2 linked regions of the Lytechinus pictus genome follow. The protein of the gene in region 1 purifies or fractionates together with the protein of each later gene. This does not show direct contact. Links are inferred from orthologs where the notes say so. Each region holds a gene or a part of one and is shown on either strand. Other genes may lie near its edges.

Evidence for each region.
Region 2: the proteins of activin receptor type-1-like (region 1) and protein DVR-1 homolog purify together in Drosophila melanogaster (affinity purification with western blotting, with the first as the bait; 3 studies listed by BioGRID). This does not show direct contact. The link is inferred for Lytechinus pictus from reciprocal best matches to the Drosophila melanogaster genes sax and gbb.

Annotation. Positions count from the first base shown.
Region 1 is NC_087245.1:10,045,795-10,056,073, reverse strand, and holds the start of activin receptor type-1-like, read right to left. Parts: upstream 3,954-10,279; 5' UTR 3,781-3,953; coding exon 3,753-3,780; intron 3,302-3,752; exon of another isoform or gene 2,761-3,301; intron 1-2,760.
Region 2 is NC_087245.1:29,075,569-29,085,778, reverse strand, and holds the start of protein DVR-1 homolog, read left to right. Parts: upstream 1-6,087; coding exon 6,088-6,106; intron 6,107-10,210. UniProt on the Drosophila melanogaster protein: Required for the growth of imaginal tissues and for patterning of the adult wing.

The sequences.
Region 1 (10,279 bases):
CTGTAGGAATGCAGATGTAGATCTATGCTATATGGTCACCATCACCACATGCTCTAGGGAACCTACCTAGTGCTTGTAGTTAGTTACCAATCTGCAAAAAAAATATAGGATTCAGAAACATGTTGCATCTTGAACAATTTCTGCATGATACATGTACATGATTTTCTTTACTTGAAATGTTTTTCTTCTAATCAGCATTAATGGTAGAGGCTAAGGTTTTGACCCCCCCCCCCCCCCCCCACCCCCTTGGTATACAGATTTAGATGAAGAAAAAAAAACTACTATTTTTCTTTATTGTTCAGTTGAATCTGACAAACCCCTAGTTTAGTTGTCTGTGTGATCCTGATGGTTTGCCAGATTGCAGAGCTTTAAGGGCTTGCAAGCAAAAGATGCTATTTATATATCTTGACTTGGACAGCACATAGATATAAGGCATATATCCTTCGAATTGCAAAGTGATTTGAAGTGTTTACGCTGGGTCAGAAAGGGCCATGAGAAGGAACAATAGAGGGAGGAGAGCTTGGTGGATAGGTGCCAAGATTCCCAAGAAGCCCCCATTCATTGGTCCAATGGGTCAATAAAACACTCACACCTGGTCTAAGAGGATTTTAGACACAGGAATGAAAGGTTACAGAGACATGATGCTGTAATCACTTGACAACATTACACTTCTCATGGACAAAATATACTTTGTGATTCTTCGATGTCCAGATGAAGGGGTCAATAAAAACGTTTTTTTTCCAAATTGCCAGAGATATACAAGAGAGACTACATGTACATGTCACTTTTTTACACCGATGCTCAATGACATACTTGAAGTCACATATTAGCCGCCTGTTACCTCAATGAACACACCTATAGAGGTATAGATAGTGATGATGGATCAATTCTCATTTATCAATTAGTGTTCTAGCCTCATTACGTAACTCATTTTGAACACTCATGATGACACCTACTACATTGTACAGTGTACTCTCAGAAATATATGTATGGACTTAAACCAAACCTGAATCTGAAGGATTCTGATGTACTTGCAGCCGATTATTTTCATAAAAAAAGGTACTATCTGAGTAGCTTCAGGATTTTTGTTCTCAAAGTCCAAGGCACATGAAAGCAGTACTTTCAAGTATTATGCTTTTTGATTTGTTTCTTTTAAGATTTAGACATTGTAAAATGCAGTCTACATGTACGTCATAGACAAGCAAGTTTGGTGTTCATCAACATGTACCAGAGGCATGCAGAGAATGATAAAGATTCAACAATGTCTCTACTACATGTACATGTACAATAAGAAGAAGAGCAACAATAATATTTACCATTCCATTTAAAAAGCACAGAGCTCTATACTCAATCGTACATAATATACAAGAATTGTGTTTATTTATACCCAAGCTTGCCCTGGTTTTGTTCATGAGGTGCCATAAACCCTTTCTGGTGGATACTTCCATGTACTTCTTGAGTTGTATTGATCATACACTGAAAAGTACAGGTGTGTTAATATAGAATTATCAAACAAAATGAAAATACTGTACCATGGAGCTAGATGGCTGTACATTGTGTAGGCCTACCTCTGAAATTCTCAACCCTTTCTTTGTGTTAAAACTGATGAACACCATGCTCAAATCATAATTCATTTTAAAGATTAAAAGCCTATAAAAGGTACCGGTAATGATAAATTAAGCATTTTTTTTTATCCAAGGATTCTGCACTGACCAGCTCCAACAATAAATGCTTTATAAAGGGCCATTTTTTTGTTTTACATATCATACTAAAGAAACATTTGAAGGCATTACTACATGTATGTTCAAAGACACAACCCTTGAAGAAAGGCTAGAGTACAGTGCACACAGCTTGAGAGAAACAAGTCCCTCGATGAAAGACGCAATTAGGAGAGTTTACTTGCTGGTGTTCAACCCCCCTACAGGGTAGGTTTACAGGGACAGATGGATAAATATGCGCATAAACTTCAACAAGCCATGAGGTACATGTATGAAAGATAGAGGATCTCTCAAACAATAAACTTCATTAAAAATCAAGATTGCAGTAATACTTCATGATACAAGGAAGGTTACAATAAAAAAATGTTTGAACATTTGTGAAAAAGGGCCCCTAATAGATTATGGAATTGAAATATGGTATAGAAAGTCACTTGCCTTGTTATCAATATCCCAAATATTGGTTCACTCCAGCATAGATGGTGACAATCCATAAAGTAAAATTTCACTTTAAAAGTAACCAAGAAAAAATTGTAGTCCAAATACATGTAGAATAAACTTCCACAGTACATTACCAGTTATTGTACACATCGCCAATTCATTTCTATTCTCAGTTTGAACAGGTGATACAAGTACTAGATAAATAAAAGGACGTTTAGAAGCTTAGAAGTAGGGAATTCCTCTATTTTGTGTTGAGTCTAATACAAAATAATAAAGCATAACTTCAAAAACAAATCAGCAGTGCTCAAAATGCACCATGAGAATGCTATTTGAGAAAACAAAGGGAAGAGCATAGTTTTCATATCGAGATAGCCTACATGTACATGTACAGTAAATCAGATACTAATCACATTCATTCGTTCCTTACTTCACAGAAAAGGGATTTTGCTATTAAGAACTTGATTTTATAAAAAGCATTTGAAAAATATTAGTGTTCAATACCATCTAATCCTAGAAATCACCCCATCTTTTTTCTAGCTATGAAAATATCAAAGCCACACCAACATTTTATAAATAACTTCTTGTAACTACAAACATTTTTTACCCCACCAAGCATAACTTCAAACTGCTGACTACTTCAGATTGTGAGCATATTCATCTTGATTTGCAGAAGAACGTCTCCTTTAAATCACCATACAAACGAATTCCTTCATCAATCTTCCTCCTGAAGTTTTATCCGCAGATTTTCAAGTGAAGAAAGTTGGGATTGAAGTCCTAGTACAAACAACGCTGCACGATGTAGTTTTGATATCTTAACTTAGCAGGGATTGGGACTGCACCCTATCAGGAACTAGTGGGTGGATCTCTCAAAGCTCTTAACCCAAATCCTTTTCTTCTTCATTAGAGAGAAGTTCAGGAAGAATGCCAGAAACTTCCAAGATTCAAGACTTGATCGGAATAGACGAAAGCCATTGGGGTAGAAAGAAGATACTGAATGTAATTTGTAGGAAAATCCATGCAATACATCATCTTGTCTCTGTGAAAGTATTCAACTTTTCATCGGTATAATTTAAAAACATTTTAAAACCAACAGATACATGTACATGGAGAACATCAAAAGGCATTCTTGTGTCATTAATCAATTCAACAAACAGATTAGAAATTGGCCTACAAGTAAGAAAACTCTATATTGAATGAAAGGAATTTCAAGAATGTCATACAGTATATTGAAAACTATACTTCTATGCTCACTTTCTCAAAAGCATCCAAAAACATGCAAATTGGTAAAATAATTGAACAGGAAAAGCATCAGGAAAATTTTCAGAGAGACTATGATTGATGTCTGCTATTCGAAAGTGTTGGCATTTTGAAGTGAATTTGATTTTCAGAAAGCGTGTATTACCGGTACAAGTATACTTGGAGTGATATCCATCAAACTCGAAATGCAAATTAAATGCATAAAAACATTTTTAATTATTTGCCAGATTTGCCTTAATTTCAAACACCTTTTCACCAATGAAGCTGTGATGCCTTCAAATGAAAGATGCTAATAAAAAGATGAAAAACATAACAAAGCCAAAAATGCATAAAACTCACCGCCTGTAAGGTGACCAGGCAAACTCATGATGGTAAAATCCAAAAAGAGTAAAAATCCTCAGTAGATATTGAGATAAAAGCTGAAGAATGGTGAACAAGAGAAGAATCCCATAGGATAAAACCTGCAAACAAGTCCCATACTCTAATAAGACCACATGACCTAACCCTCGCTAACTCACTAAATGGTCCCTTCCTCACAATGACATGACTGCCCATACACTCTCATTTACAGTACAACTAGTCTATGGTGTTCAGACCTTCAGTATCAAAACTCAACAAAATAGAGATTTTGTCTGGCACATGTATTTCTAATCTATACTTGTATCTTTAAACATTACAAATATTCTCAAGCTGTTAATGAATTAAATGGATTTTTTTTAATTCTTTTTAATTTTTAAGTCACATCTTCAAAGTAAACTCGGTTGACAAAAACAAAAATCACAGCTACATGTAAATGTATGTTGTCATCGCTTTCAAATTAAAAATCCTACAACATACAGTTGATATTCTTCCATGATCATACTTCATAACATGAATATGTTTATCAAAGGCAAAACTTTCACAAAAGCCCTGGTGATGAGAGCCATGAGAATTTATGTGACGATCTGAGAGTGTGCAGGGATTTCAATAAGGTCAGAGATACAAGACTAGCTAGAGTTGCCCTCATTGGTTGAAGTTTTCAATTTACACAGGAACTCAGCAACTAAGGTGTGATAGAATTGGAGAAGTCCTGGCAAACAGGTTACTCCGTGTTCACACAAACACTTTATTCATTGGAAAATATTCTTGGCATTGGAATATACAGTATGTAGAAATGTGTGTTAGTTCCAGATTTTATCCCCTTCAATTCTCTGAATCTTCCATAACATTTCCATACTTAACAATTTTACATGTAAATTTATTATTATATGTTTAAATCTAAAAGCATAGGGTGCAAATTCAATGACCAATAAATACATACATGTATATGTAGGGTATATAAATTTGAATGATTGAACAAGGAATAATTTTAATATGTAGTCTATATAAAGATTGTATCCTTCATTCATATTTATGAGGGGGATATATTGCATACTTTGTACAATACCACTTTAATGAATTTCATTTAAAGAGGTGGAATTTAAAAATCAAATGTGATTCCTTCATATTTGAGAGAGGATAATTTTGAGTTTGGTTAGTGCACACATCATACAGAACCAAGGTCAAGACCCAACAAACACAATTTAGACCCCTTGATTCAACATGGTGTATTTGAAGGAACTTTTTTTTTCATTATTTTCTAATGAAAGCAGAACCCAGTTGCATTATCTTGAGTGTATAGACAAAGATGGGTCAATATTAACCTCATAAACATCCAAAGGAAATTACATTGTAGATTGTAGTAGGAGGTGCTTAAAGGAATCTATCATTATTTCCTGCGTCATTAGAATCAGTACAAATCATGGATATGTACAGGCACATGCTTATGAATGATATAGGAAAAGGATACATACCATTACTCTTGGAAAACAAGTGAATCACATTTTATTCTCCATACATAGAAAAAGCAGAAAAATCACTGGAAAGACCTTGCTCTTGTCTATTTTTGTGCAATTCAATAGCATATTACATGTATGCAGACCCTATTAAATAATCAAAGAAATTAGTCACTACAGATTAATTAATACAAGAAAAGCATGCAAGTAACCATCTTTTGTTACAAGTATGATATCAGTTGTGCATTCTTTATGAATTTTTACCACTTTTTTATAGGCCTACATGTACATATCGGTAGCATTTCATGAAACAATTTGTAAACTGTGACTTTTATAGACTGTTTGTTATAAGCTACTGAAATCTTTGCATCTCATTGGCTAGGAGAAACTTTGTCAGTGAAGATCACCGACTAGATGCTTCATGGAAATGCATCGGCCCTTTAAAAGTAGATGGGACTACATTGTAGCGATAAGCATCTATCATCAAGCCCATTACATTGTGTTGAATGATGGACATGTATTCTTGAATGATGGGGCAGTTTACTTGTCAAACATGACCCAGATAGGCTGTGAGGGACCACCTGTGCATACACACCATAAGCTCAACTTTCTTTCCCCCCTTTACACCAATCAACCCTCCTGATTCCATTCCTTCAACATCTTATCCACACAATCAATACTTTTAAATGATTTCTAGTTGGACCCTAAATGGACAGTATATCATGGCTCTTTACTAGTCTTTAGTATTACATGTATAAAGAAACACCTGACAGCTGGACAAGTAGTCTATTTTCGCTTTTCAATTAACAAAAATATTTTTAAAAAGAAAAAGAAAAATTTACTACACATGCAGGCCTTAATATACACCTACCAACAAAATAACAGAACAGAAAAAAATGTTTTCTCGGTATACGATTTGGGGTAGTTTTTTGTTGTTGTATTGTACATATTCAATATTCTGAATGAAAAGTATGATGTTCTACTTACACTTGGGCATCTGGGTGGGTAAACAATCCACAACAACAAAAATAAGAAGACATAGAACAGTAATCCTCTTGTCAAGTATCATCTGTACTAGATCCATTGTGCAACTACAATAGCATCCAATTTTTTTTTTTACTGTTTATGGATTCTTTGGAATGAAGATTCAATTCTCATCTCCAATCAAATCATATGAAAGCGATAAAGTGACACAAACAATGTGGATCCGATAATGTTAAGATAACCAAACATGGATTGGAAATGACATGATATTCCAGGCAGCTTGGATATCATATTCCTTGCAAGATTTTTTTTTTATCCAGTCGGTAATGAAGACCATTAATGATAGAATCACACTTGCTTGTCTGCTGGCACCGGAAATGTTACAATAGAACAATGATCGCTGCTAGCTACTCTCTCCATTAAAGAGCAATGGGTAAAGTGAAAGAGAGAATGGAATAAAAAGTTGTAGCACAGTGGAGACAGACAGACTGACTGCGGGAACTGGGAACATTAATATTCAATGAATATTCTTGGCTATCCTTTTCAACACTCACTTGATAGCTCTGTGTATCAACTTTTGGTGGTAATTAATGATAATCACAAATGTTTGCTGGCTTTTAAGAAACCTTAAAATCGCCCAAGCTATGGTTAAAGTAACTCTTTTGTATAAAATCAGATGGCAATGTTCAGAAAAATCCTGCATTTCCATGTGAAATTGCCAAAAAATCTGCGGTTTCCCAAATAAGTTGTGTAATTTTAAAAATCCAGCTCCAGATGCTGCTTTATATTTTCATTTAACATTTTTTGTCATAGCTACAGTACATGTAGGTGGTTTGAAGAAAAAAAATGAATAAACGGCTGTTTTCTACTCCGCCGTAGAGCAAATGTGAAGGATGTATAAGGGATTAATTTTATGATTGGGCAACGTGTAGGCCTACATTCACCTGATTATTATATATTATATATAATAATATATTATATACATATATATATAATATATTATATATAATATATTATATATATATGTATATACATGTATATATAAAATACAGTAAATATTGTGGGGGTTGAAAATCAGAAGGAGCAACGAATATGCAAACAAAGTCTGCAAACCCCATGCTTCATTGTGGAGCAAATAAAAACTAAGTGTGTAAAAAAAGGGGGGGGGGGGCATGTTAGTATTAATAATATAAATATATATTATATGGGCATAATAAAAGATAAAGATCACAAAGGCATTGTAATCATTTTTTTGCTACGTCTTGTCTTGGCTTTCAAAGTACCGGGACAGTAGTACATTTACATGTATGATTGATAAACAAAATAAATATTAATAGAATCCAGCTGTACATTTTAGTTGACTGCCCTCTGGGATGAGGGATCCAGTAGAGAAGAGCATACACACATATCTACATTGGGCCGAGACTGTCACTACAACTAATTGAGGAAACGAGGGGAGACACAGCCAATGCAATGAAATGGAATAGTGGCGCCAGCTGAAGCATCAATTCTAACTCGCATTGAAAGCTAGTCGTTACGATCACTATAGATTCACTGGACCTAGCCAGGCAGTATGAATGGAATTATGCTACTGGACTCCTATTCTCAATACAAAGTTACGATCGTAAAAGCATGTACCAGCTACTGGTACAGAAATCATACAAATCATGAAAATATATTAAAACCGCTGATAAGTAAATGAGGCCCCCAATATCTTATACCTACATGTAAACACTAATTCTACATTGCTACGACCTGACAATATAAAAACTTGGATTTGTAAACTAATTCTAACTCTGTTACAATAACATCTCGTCTGAAAATCTACAGTAGAGTACATCACATCTTAGTGGATGAATTTGAAAAAAAATGTTTGCCGGTAAATTATGTAATAAAGAATTTGTTAAAAATTGTTTTTGTCAGAACTGTAGGCCCTACACGTATATACATAGGCCTTCAAAAAATCTTTCTAGGTTTACAGTAGTTATGCCAAGGAGCTTGAAGTTCCTTGGGTATTGCTTAGAAATTGTGGATTCCCTGGTTATGCAAATGATATTACTGATCTTGTGAAGAAAAATAAAATTCTCCAATGTGCATAGATGTACATGTAGGTATGCATCAACACATGAGAACAACAAGTAGTCATGATTTGACCTTTGTGCAATCAGGATATAACATCATTCAACAGATGACAGGTCTCGAAACAAACCCAGCAGGGATGTGGAAGAGGTGAATCTTGAAATCTACACAAATCAACACAAAAATCAGTTGTTTTCCATGACAACAAGCAATCCATAACCAATTAAAAAATCAAAGAACTCCATGTAAGAACATCATCTTTCTGACTTCAAAAGAGAATTATAACAAAACACAAAATCATTTTTTTCACTTATGACAGTAGAGGATAGGATAGGGTGTTACATTCATAAATGCTTATTCATCAAAAATGAAAACACAATGATGAAAAATATGGAATTTTGGAAGAAACATTTGTTTTAATCTCACACTCACACAAGAATAAAGACTTGGCATCATACTAGGAATATTGGTTACTCTCACTGAAAATATTTGTTAATGTACATGTATGCTGCTCCTTCTGGAATCAACATCACAAGTTTAAAAAAAAACAGCTGCTATGAAATATGATTGAAACACCATCTTCATGAAACAGAAGGATAACAGGTGAGGTCAGGTTAAAGGTCAAATGTCAATCTCAACTGAAGAACATAGACAAATCCTTGATATTAATGCTTTATAGACTACTGTTTCAATTCAATGTACTGTTATTAAACAAACATAAAACAAAAGAAAGGAAGGAATAATATTTAAAAAACTTAGCTATAAATATCCAAAGTATTTATTGAATGTGTGAACACTAATTACTTTAATTCAATATTTCATACTGTAAACGGCTTACAGTGTATGTATGTACACACATTTATAAGTGTACATTTGTACTATTCCAGGGGGCACATATCATTATTATTAAATCTGCAATTTTTGTGGAAGAGAATTCTCTGTGAATGTCTCACTTTTGTTAACAGTTAAGTCGGGTCTCCAAATTTGCCAGCAAACATTTTTGTAGAAATCACCTTACTTGGTAGAAACCTCCTATATCATTATAACCTTGGCTTTACCAAAACAGCAATTCCATTGAAAACAAATTAGAAGTTATCATGGGAGTTGCCTCAAGTGAAAATTGTCAATAGAATCCTAATTTTCATGTTCTAACTGTAGAGAGCGAATTATGACCAACAACTTCCATTACATGCAATAGACAAATATAAACACAAATTATTGTATCTCACCCATATAAAGTGCCCTACAAAATTTTGAAAATGTTATCGTTTTTTTTATTATTTAATGAATCAGTTTGGAACATAATGGCATTTGCAGCCAGTAAGCATTCTCTTCCTCCATCAATTATTGTTGATAAAATAATAATGGCAATTGACAAAACACAAATAGCATGGGGTGCAAGTGGACATGTAGGCACATTCAACCTGTGTATGTATAGAAGTCATTGCTGATCAAACAATCGGAAGAATGACCCTTGACCTCCACGAGGAGGTGACTGATTGATCCCTCCTTCCTGAGCTGTATGATCCCCCTACCCCACCCCAATCCCCATTAGCTTCCTGTTGTCTCACTACAACCTCTATCCATCACTCATCTCATACTCAGACTGCCACCTGTTACCCTTGGATTTATCATTTTAGATTTACCACTCTTTTAGATTTCAAGACCAAGACAACATTTTTAGCAAGTCACAAGTTCAAGTGTTATTTTCAACACTGAATAATGAATGGTATTGCATGTTTTGATTTGGGTGCTTTTTATGGGTAAAGTAACATCAACCTGAGGGCTTCAAATAGGCCCCCAGCCTAACAAAGCACTGACCTAGCAACACACTTGGCTCATTGAATAACCCATTAGGCGGTGCTGCGCCAGCCCAAGTTTGCTCAATCTCGAGATTCTAGCGATCAGCCCTCTTCGCGAGTATTCTCAAGATTCAAGAAACCCCATCTCCACCAGCGCAAGGGCAATTCGTGCTCGAGCGAGGCATCG
Region 2 (10,210 bases), about 19 Mb from region 1:
ATAAATGTCTTGAAGTCAATATGTCTTGTTTCACGAGAGCCATGGTCCACAGTCTGGGCTAGCCAATGCATTGTAGTCTAATGGATTGGATTTTCACCAAACTTCTCTGGATTATTCCCGTTGTGACCCCAGAATGGTCAAGGAGATTGCCAGGTTTGGTCGTGATGAGCACAGAATAAATGCAGATAGAGAAGAACTAATGTCCGTAATCCGTATTAACCTTTGAATCCGTTGCATTGTCATCAAGTATGCAAGGTTCCGGGGGCAAAGATATCGCCGCTGACGCAATTGAGCTCAGAACAGGGTCTGTATTTCGAGGCCAAATTTGGAACCGGGTGGTAAACCCTGAACTGCGCCTCGGGGTGTATACGCGGTCTCGCTGTTATCAAGTCACGATAACATAGCAATGAGAATCGCATCATGGTAATTGACTGGGAATGTAGCTTGACCTTACTGTGTAAACACTTGAGGACACCATCGGTTCACCTTTACCCCCCCCCCCCTTCTCCCGTCGAAAGGATGTGCAAGCCAAGGAATGGGCCAGATCAGAAAGAGTGATCTCGAAGGCTTGCTCTTTCCATGGACATTACACTGTTACAGCAAAAATTGTGGCTTTGGATATTGTACATACATGTAGACATAATTGAGGACCACACTAGTCATTTTACCCCGGTGTTGATTGTTGGTGTTGGTTCAACACGTATTGATGTTATTACGACACCTTTTGGTTGCTACTTTTACACTCTGGTGTTATGTTCAATCTCTATAGGGCGTAATTTTAACACCTCAGTGTGTGGTTCCGTAGGGACACCAACTGGTGTCAACATTTCAACGAACCAGTTTGTACATGAATATATACAATGTCAGATCGTTACATTCAACATTGCTGAACCCAGGGTGGCGATCCTGGGGGCGGGGCACAGTGCCCCCCCCCCCCCCACTTTTTGAAGCACTTAAAAAGTGTCCTTTTTACGCAAGAAAAAAAATGCCCCCTCACGAACGTGTACTGTGCTCCTTTCATCTGAAGAGGACCCGTTTTAGGTGTTACCAAGTGCCCTCTCTCGTATAAGTGCCACCCCCCCAAAAGAAAATGCCCCCTCACGGACGTGTTCTGTGGTTTTGCCATTTTCACCTGAAAAGGACCCGTTTCATGTGTTAGCAAATGCCATATCTTGTATCAGTGCCAAATTTTACAAAAAATTCCCCCTCACGAACGTGTTCTATGCCCCTTTCACCTGAGACCCGTTTTATAGCAAGTGCCCTTTTGCCATCTTATAGGTGCCCTTTCTCATATCAGTGCCCCTTTTTACCCAAAGAAAGTGCCCCACACGAACGTATTCTATTCCCCTTTCACATGTTTTATGTCTGAGCAATTGCTCCATTGCCTTCTTGTAAGTGCCCTTTTTTCCCAAGAAAAGTGCCCCTTACGAACATGTCCCGTGCCCCTTTCATCTGAGAAGGACCCGTTTTACGCCGTTAGCAAGTGCCCCTTTGCTGTTTTATAGGTGCCCGTTCTCCTATCAGTATACCCCTTTTTACCTACGTAAGAAAAGTGCCCCCACGAACGTGTTCTGTGCCCGTTTCACCTGAGAAGGACTTATGTGTTTACGAGTGCCCCCTTGCCTTATCATAGGTGTCTGTTCTTCATGTAAGATAAGTTGTCCTGAAAACCACTCTTTTCGTGCCCGATGTGCCCCGGTTTCTTTATTTAGCGCCGGTTTTTTTTTTGAAAACTTTTTGAAAAACTCATTCCTTCACTGCAGATTTTCACAAAATCCACCAAAAGTATGCACAAAACTTAACAAAGTGCAAACGCGGCTCAATGATAAGCTCGGTCGCTTTTCTCCCTCGCTTTCAAGTTTTTTTCCAAAAAGTTGACGCGTGCTGCTCCCCAGCTAAAAAAAATATGCATACGGCCATGTTTAAGATAATGCCCTTTTCGAAACAAAAGGTGCCATTTTTCCCCTGTGCCCCCCCCCCTACTTTCAACTTCGCTCCGCCGTCCCTGACTGAACCGACCGGAAATATGACTCTTGTCGATAGGCCTATGGTAGGCCTTATTACTTGTGAACCAGTGTGAACTGCCTTGTCTTTTGGGAACACCGCCATAGTCTACTTGCAGGGGCCGCGGAACGGTTTTGAAAGTGGGGGGGGGGGGGGCTGACCATGCAAAAATGATAATCAGATTGTCATTTCTATGTTTTTGTACATGGTTGTGGAAAAAAGTGGGGGGGGGGGGCTGACCATGCAAAAATGATAATCAGATTGTCATTTTTATGTTTTTGTACATGGTTGTGGAAAAAAGATGCGGGGGCATGTCTCTTTACTTCAATGTCCGGATGTAATTAATAAGTTGACGTCTGAATGTACTTGATTTTTGTCCAGAATCGTGAGAGTGTCAGGTGCTCTACCCGTCATTTTTGCTGTATATTCAGGAAATGATAGCAATTTAGGGACTTGTGTTCTTTTTTTCATATTTGAATAACTTAGGTACTTGTTGATGAGATACTGCATTTCCCTGTTTTTTTTTTCAATGTTGTAACACTCATGTAAGCGTATCATTACGTTTATCTTGATTTAAGTCAAAGATTGTATGCACCTGGGTTCCAATCTAGCAAGAAAAATAGATCATGCTACGTGGCCGAAGGGTGAGGGGTAGGCAGAAAAGCAATCGGTTTGATTATACCAAGAAATGGACTGGTCTTGTTTATGAAGAGATTCTTGACAGAAGGCAATGGGAGGTGCAGGGGCATAGCCCCCGCATATAGCCACCAACCCCTTTCGAAGGGACGACACTAGATGTTATTGAATAAGCCAAATATTCTGTCTCCATATTGGTAGGTCCATGATCCTATTAAGTTTTGGTTTTTTTTCTTGTGTTTTTTCTCAGTTTAATGGATGATAATAACGTCACGTACATGCACGTGGCTTTGATAAACCACTGATAACCGTAAAAAATGTTTATGATTGTCTCTCAGTTATCATTCATCGATATCGATGCTTGTTGCGTTTGTGTATAGTTCAGTTGCACACAGTTCATACGCGAATGTATATAACATTCGATATTACATTCATGTTTTATAGTAGAAAAGTATACCTACTCACGATGTGAGTCACCGCACAGCGCCACCTATGACCGACCTGTGTCTTAATTGATGCTAAAACCGCCATTCTCCGGTTTCAAAAAGTGTATCTGATTTCAAGTCCAAGTTTCCATCCAAGATAGACAATCATCTCTCAAATGTCAGCGGGGTATTAGAGTGACAGAAATCAAACTGCCTTGCAAATTTTCTCCTTGTTGTTTGGATATCGCGATTCATCACGGGGAAATTATTGCTGGGAAGATTCGGTCGTGACATGTCATGTAAATATTCAACGTCTTTATCGGCCATTAATGGTCGGTTGACGAGCTGAGGTAAACACATCACATGGGCAGTAAATCTGTTTAAAAGGTTATTATGACAAGTCATATAGACACCCATCTCCCGTCTGTCTCGTACCTCACTGGGCGCATGGTGTATTATGAGGTCCACGAGGCCGAGTGTCCACGAGACTGATTTTCATATCGTAGGCTATTTTATTTAATCATGTTTATCAAACTTGTCTACTGAAGATACTTCCGGCTTGGGCTATTCTTTAATGTAAGCTGAAATGTAGACTGTTTCACTGTGTAAGTTTCGGTTAATAACAAATAATTATGAGAAAAACAATACGAGTAAAATCGGCCTCGTACCTGAACTATAATTCGAATCTCTTCTCGGTATATGCCAAGAGTTGCCGTGTTTACACGCTGCGTCGACTCGCGGTGTGCAACCGAGAGCCGATCATGCCGATGCACGTGTAAACACGGTAACAGATGCAACTTTTGTTATTAGTTTTGATCACGATCGTCCCAGGAGTCACACATATCCACTCCTGGGTAGAGAGAGCGAGATAGAGCCTTCTTACGCTCTACAAACTGGGGTGTTAAACTGACACCCGTTGATGTCCCAAGACGGCCACACCCTTTATTTGAACATAAAGCCAAAGAGTGTTAACCATGTTAACGACTAAAGGTGTTGTAATATAGGCATTGAACTAATATTAAATCTAACACTGGAGTATAATGACCGGTGTTGTTCGCTAGTTTGCTCGCCAAAAGAAATAGATAGCATTATTAATTCGAAAAATCGGAGGGAAAGTAATTTATGATGGTCTGACGCTGATAAAACTCAATTTCTTATCGAGAGAAAGCGGAAACTTTGGAAATTGCTCTTCTAGGGTATCCCCAAGTCCCAAGCCGAAAGTACGGGCTACCTACCCACAGCGGGTTCGTAGTACTTCCAGGTCCACTCTATATCTACCATATGTGTGCAAGGTAGGCTGGTCTTTCAGCCGGTCCGTCTGTTCAGATCACTATATACAGGTAATGATGATGCACCCTATCACCTATTACCCCATAATGATTTAAGACGTGACTTGTGAAATATCAGCTTAATCCATGGTGTAATTGCATTTCATGTCAAGCGCTGTAAATTTGACAAGAATGCAGTCATTACCCCCCAAAGGTATATATACCAGAATTATAGCAGTGGTCATGGTGTAAGGAGGGGGGGGGGGGTACTTAGGAGTGGCAGCAGTTTAGTAGCAGTGTAGTAGTAGTAGTAGTAGTAGTTCAAATTTAAACTAGAAAATCAGCACTCATAGTGCAGTCACTATACAAGCACTGTAAATGCTAAATTAGCACATCATTTTTTACAGTGTAGTAGTAGTAGTAGTAGTGGTAGCTGTAGTAGTGGTAGTAGTATTATTATTATTATTAGTAGTAGTAGTAGTAGTAGTAGTAGTAGTAGTAGTAGTAGTAGTAGTAGTAGTAGTAGTAGTAGTAGTAGTAGTAGTAATAGTGGTAGTAGTAGTAGTGGCAGTAGTAGAAGTAGTAGTAGTAGTAGTAGTAGTAGTAGTAGTAGTAGTAGTAGTAGTAGTAGTAGTAGTTGCAGTATAGTAGTAGTAGTAGTCGTAGCAGCAGCAGCAGCAGAAGTAGTAGTAGTAGTAGTAGTAGTAGTAGTAGTGCTCCTAGAGGGAATCCGAAGAGCGGACACTACATGTATATTATAACATAATCGTTTACATTATGTTTTATCAACATACTTGCATCTTATACACTGTAAAAACACTGATTAAAATTTAAAGCACGTGGTTTAAGCCCGTCACTCTAACAACTGTTTAAAAAGTGTAAACAATTACAACAAGTAATTTAACAACTTGTTGTTAGAGTGACAGGCTTAAACCATGTAAACAACGTGCTATTTTTTTAACTGTGTAGCAGAATTGTGACGGTTATTGGCTTTTAATTGTCTGAAATTAGTTTCAACAACATATTGCTTGCAAAGTTCTTGAAATCGCTGTCTTAATACATGTATATTAATGCGGAAAAGAAACCTGTCTGGTATCAGAGAACAGTGACTGGCTAAATCATGTTAAATTCTGATATTCATCGATCTGGCGATATTTCATCAATACAATTAATCCATGAGTATCATGGTTATTGTCAAGACAACACATAGATTCTGAAGACCAATCATGTCTTACGCCACCATGTGATATGTTTTTTTTTTCTGTCTATGCATGGTTGCCATGGTTTCTGCTGATTATCAGAAAGCATTATTGCCCTCGGCACGCTCCATGTATAATTGAATCCCATGACGCATGCACATTCATCATAAAAATATGAAATGAATGAAAACACTTAACATTCGTATTTCCATGATTTTTTTCTTCTTCTATGCCATTATACGTCGTACGGTTTGTCCATCGTATTAAGATATCATGCATAATAACACTCAAGATTATTTTGGTCCATGAATGCAGGCATACAGAGATATTTAGCTTCAATTGGCTTCCATCGTTCCATGTACAAAAACGATAGAAGATACAATGCATCACATCAATTCCGCAATTCCCTTTCAAATTCATGATCCATTTGTACGAAGTATGCATGTATAAATAAATACCTTCTCCCATAGATACATTATTCCTTTCCTTATGAAAAGTTAAGAAAATAATGCTACTTTCACGAATATTCATCCCCCAAAATAAACAGATACGACCATGGGTGAGGCTACAGGGGGTAAGGGCGACAGCCCCTGTGATTTCTTAAGTAGAAAGAAAAAGAAAATGGAGACGAAGACGAAGATGGGAAAAAGTGGAAGAACAGGGGGGGGGGCAGGAAGAGTATCAAAAGGAGAAATCCTGCTATTGAATTTAAAAAATGAAGTCGATAAGGTCATCGCATGGTCTGTTCGTGAGACTAACGCCCATATTTATATATGAAAGAAAATATAAGGCTGTCATCGACATATTTGTATCAAAAACCTATTCCCTTGATTATTGCCGATAGTAAATTGGAGCGAAGGGAAGATTGGATTACTTCATGTCATGAAACGTGGATCCTCATCCATGTTTTATCCCTGACATATCAAACTTAAATGTCAAGTCCACCCCAGTAAACTATTGATTTGAATAAATAGAGAAAAATCAAACTAGCATAACACTAAAAATTTCATCAAAATCGGATGTAAAATAAGAAAGTTATGGCATTTTAAAGTTTCGCTTATTTTTCACAAAACAGTGATATGCACAATTCCGTGACATGAAAATGATTCAGTCGATGATGTCCATCACTCACTATTTCTTTTGTTTTTTATTGTTTGAATTATACAATATTTCATTTTTTAGAGATTTGACCATAGGGACCGAATTGACTGAATCATATAGTATTAAACAATGCTAATTCCACATGTTCAGAGAGGAATTGATCACCGTTTCACTTGACAATGAGGAGAAAATTAGAATATTTCATATTTCATATAATGAAATACAAAAGAAATAGTGAGTGGATGACGTCACCAGTGTCCTCATTTGCATACCGACCAGGATGTGCATATAATTGTTTTGAGAAATTAAGCGAAACTTAAAAATGTCATAACTTTCTTATTTTACATCCGATTTTGATGAAATTTTCAGTGTTACGCTTGTTGGATTTTTCTTTTTTTATTCAAATCAATTTTTTGTTGGGATGGACTTGTCCTTTAAAGTACATGAAGTATCATAAATAGGCCTATTTTCCTGGAAAACCGATATAGGTGATATACTTGCCTTTGTCATGTTTATGGATCTTTACTCTCTTAAAAATGCTGAGCAACATACTGTCTACACAATGGGTTAAAACTTTATCCAATTCTGGGTAGTTTTAAACCAATAATGTGTGCTTTGGGTGAAAACTACACAGTATTGGTTGAAAACTACCCAGAGTTGCAAACAAAATTAACCAATCGTTGTGTGGACAGCATGTTGCCCAACATTTTAAGAGTGTAGGTAGCAGTGGCGTATCTACAAATAAAGCGACGAGGGTAAACGCTTCAATCGCCCCGGCCCCCATCTGGTCCCGGTTGCCTCCCCATTTGTCTGTTATAATCAAATTCAAATTTTCTCCACATTTTGCCTTTTGCGATGATTTAAAATCTGGCGGGGGGGGGGGGGGCGGGGTGATTTTGTTGTCAACTTAAATTCTAAACCCAAGTTGAATAGGACCTATGAGAATGTTACAAGTGTTTTTTTCGTTTTCCCATTTTTTTTTTCACTTTTACTTTTAATTTGGAATCATGACGAAGTGTTGCTCGTAGTTTCAGAGATCAGGGGCCCTTAACACAAAGCTTAGCAATCATTGTACTGTAGGACATTTAAAAACTATTGATTGCAGTGACTGTAGTGTACAATCAATCGTGAAAATCAAGCATACGATAAATCTTTCACTTTTGTGTAACAGGTCCCGGGAGAAAAAAATGGGAGGAATTGAAATCTTGTATTCAGAGCAGGTATTTGGAAGGTGGATAGGCTTTTATGTCCTTACATACATGGTATTGGTTATATCAAAGTGCATAATATATTATTTTATGTTTTGGTTTTTTTTATCCTGCCAATCTCCTGTAAATAATTTTTCTTGGTGATTTATAATAAAAACATAGATTTACGAAAAAGTCCGTATGAATAATGTAATATTGATAGATTCCTAGTTTGGGTAAACGCATGTATTACTTGTAGTACGAGTATGATCGGGGATTTGTTAGTGACTCACAATATTTCCTACTTGTGGACTCAACACCAGATTCTGATATGCGCCATTTTAGAATTGAAATGAAGACATCACTTGACGGTGCTGGTGGAGATTTAAAAACCCAGATGTGATACCTGCATGCCTAGCCTCGGGCCACTGTAATGAGAAACTGTCTACTTGTATGCCTATTGTAAAATAGTACAATGTACATAATATCAGCCTTCCAGTTAGGTGCGTTCACACCAATTCGATTTTTACAGGGTCACACGGCCGTATACATATTAGCCAGCTCGCGGATATTTCGCCCCCACCCCCGCCCCCAGAAAGTGTTACGCAATTTTGGGTTGCTATAAGTTTTTTCCGTGTTAGCTTGTCAGATTTCCTGGTGGGGGCAACAGAGGTGTATTATTCACGTCTGGGATCGAAATTGAACGTCACCATCCGAAAGACGTGACGGCGGCTCGAGCCTCGAACCTCTGCATCATATTTTTATCTCCCCAAATTTAGCTTGGATTACGGGCGCACGCCGCAACGCCCATAAGATGTGTGGACTGTTTATACATGTATATGGCTGTGGACTGTTAAATAACCCTTTTTCAGTTTTTACAAGTATTTTTTTTTTCTTGCAGGAAATATGCTATCGGGGATTGTTTTGTTAATTTGAATGTTCTGTGTATTCAGCTCACTTTAATTTCATCAAGTTACTATTTATCAAACAAAGTCAATGGCGTAATGATACAATATTTTCTGAGGGGCTTCGTTTTGATCTGATTTACTTCTGCTGCAAAATCATATGCAAGCGAGTGAAGCGAGCCTTTATTATGGACTCCCTTTCGACGTTGACATATATTTGCCATTTAATATGCCAGATCAGTTGAAGACCCAATGAACATCGTGATATTGACTATTGTAGTGTCAGACTTTTATTTAAATTCAATTCAATTCATTTATTTTCCTCTTTCAATCTTTTCATATTTACTAATGATAGTTCAATTTGCATATATACAACACATAACACTTTAATTCATTACAATAACATAAGATCGAAAGGGAAGGAGACCGACTTAAAAGCAGAGCTTGTAGGGTGAAGGCCCCCCCGTTTCGAAGAACATGATATAACTTATAGTAAAAAGAAAATAACAAAAATGAAATAAATGATTGAATGAATAAATAAATAAATAAATAAATAAATAAAAATGAATAAAATGGAATAAGTAAAACAGAAGTAAATAAATAATGATGTTAACAAAAGTAATCATTTGATATTGAAAAAAAAATGGAAGGGGGTCTCCTGCCCCCAACCCCACCGATACACTAATGAAAAAAACAACGTTATCTAGTCAGTCTCGAGGTCTTCTTGTACCTAAGGTTACATGCATTCCCAGACACCTTACACTCAAGAATCATTCTCATGTGGAGTCCCTCTGTGAGATGTATGTGGGCCACAAGAAAATATTCCGACAGCATATTCCTGCGGATTCCTTCCGTTCCATAAACTGTTATTCTTCGGGGGTTTTCCATAGCAAGGTCCTTTGCTGGGCTTCCTTTCTCTCCCGCTGGATAACAGACGTTACAATTGTAACTCGATCGTTTTCTCCGCAGCAAGGGAAGTCGAACCACTCTCTTCAAAGCCGTATACGGTTTCCCTCTCAATTCTTGCAGTCGTGGATGTTGTTAAGATTCTGATAACAATGGAGGCATTTCAATAGGGAGAAGTAGGGATATTGTATTCTTTTGGAGAGTGAAACGTAAATATTTTGACGACTTGCAAGAGTCAGGGTCATATTGAACATGATCACCTTCAGATGATTACGTAATACGCATGGTCAGTGCCCTTAGTAAGTAAATATAGGATCCATGATTACAGAGATGAAGTTATTTGTCAGAGAAAGTGATGAGTGATTGTGGGAATATAGTGGATTATTGTGGTTACAACATAATAATAATAATAGTTACATTTATATAGCGCTCATTACTCTTTGTTTCTAAATGATTTGCATTACAATTATTATTACCCCGGTCATCGGATCCTGGCATGCCCGCACACAATGTACAGGTATGGACATTCTCCACTCCCTGGGAGCATTCCAACAAAAGTTCCAAGACTCAGTTGTTTTT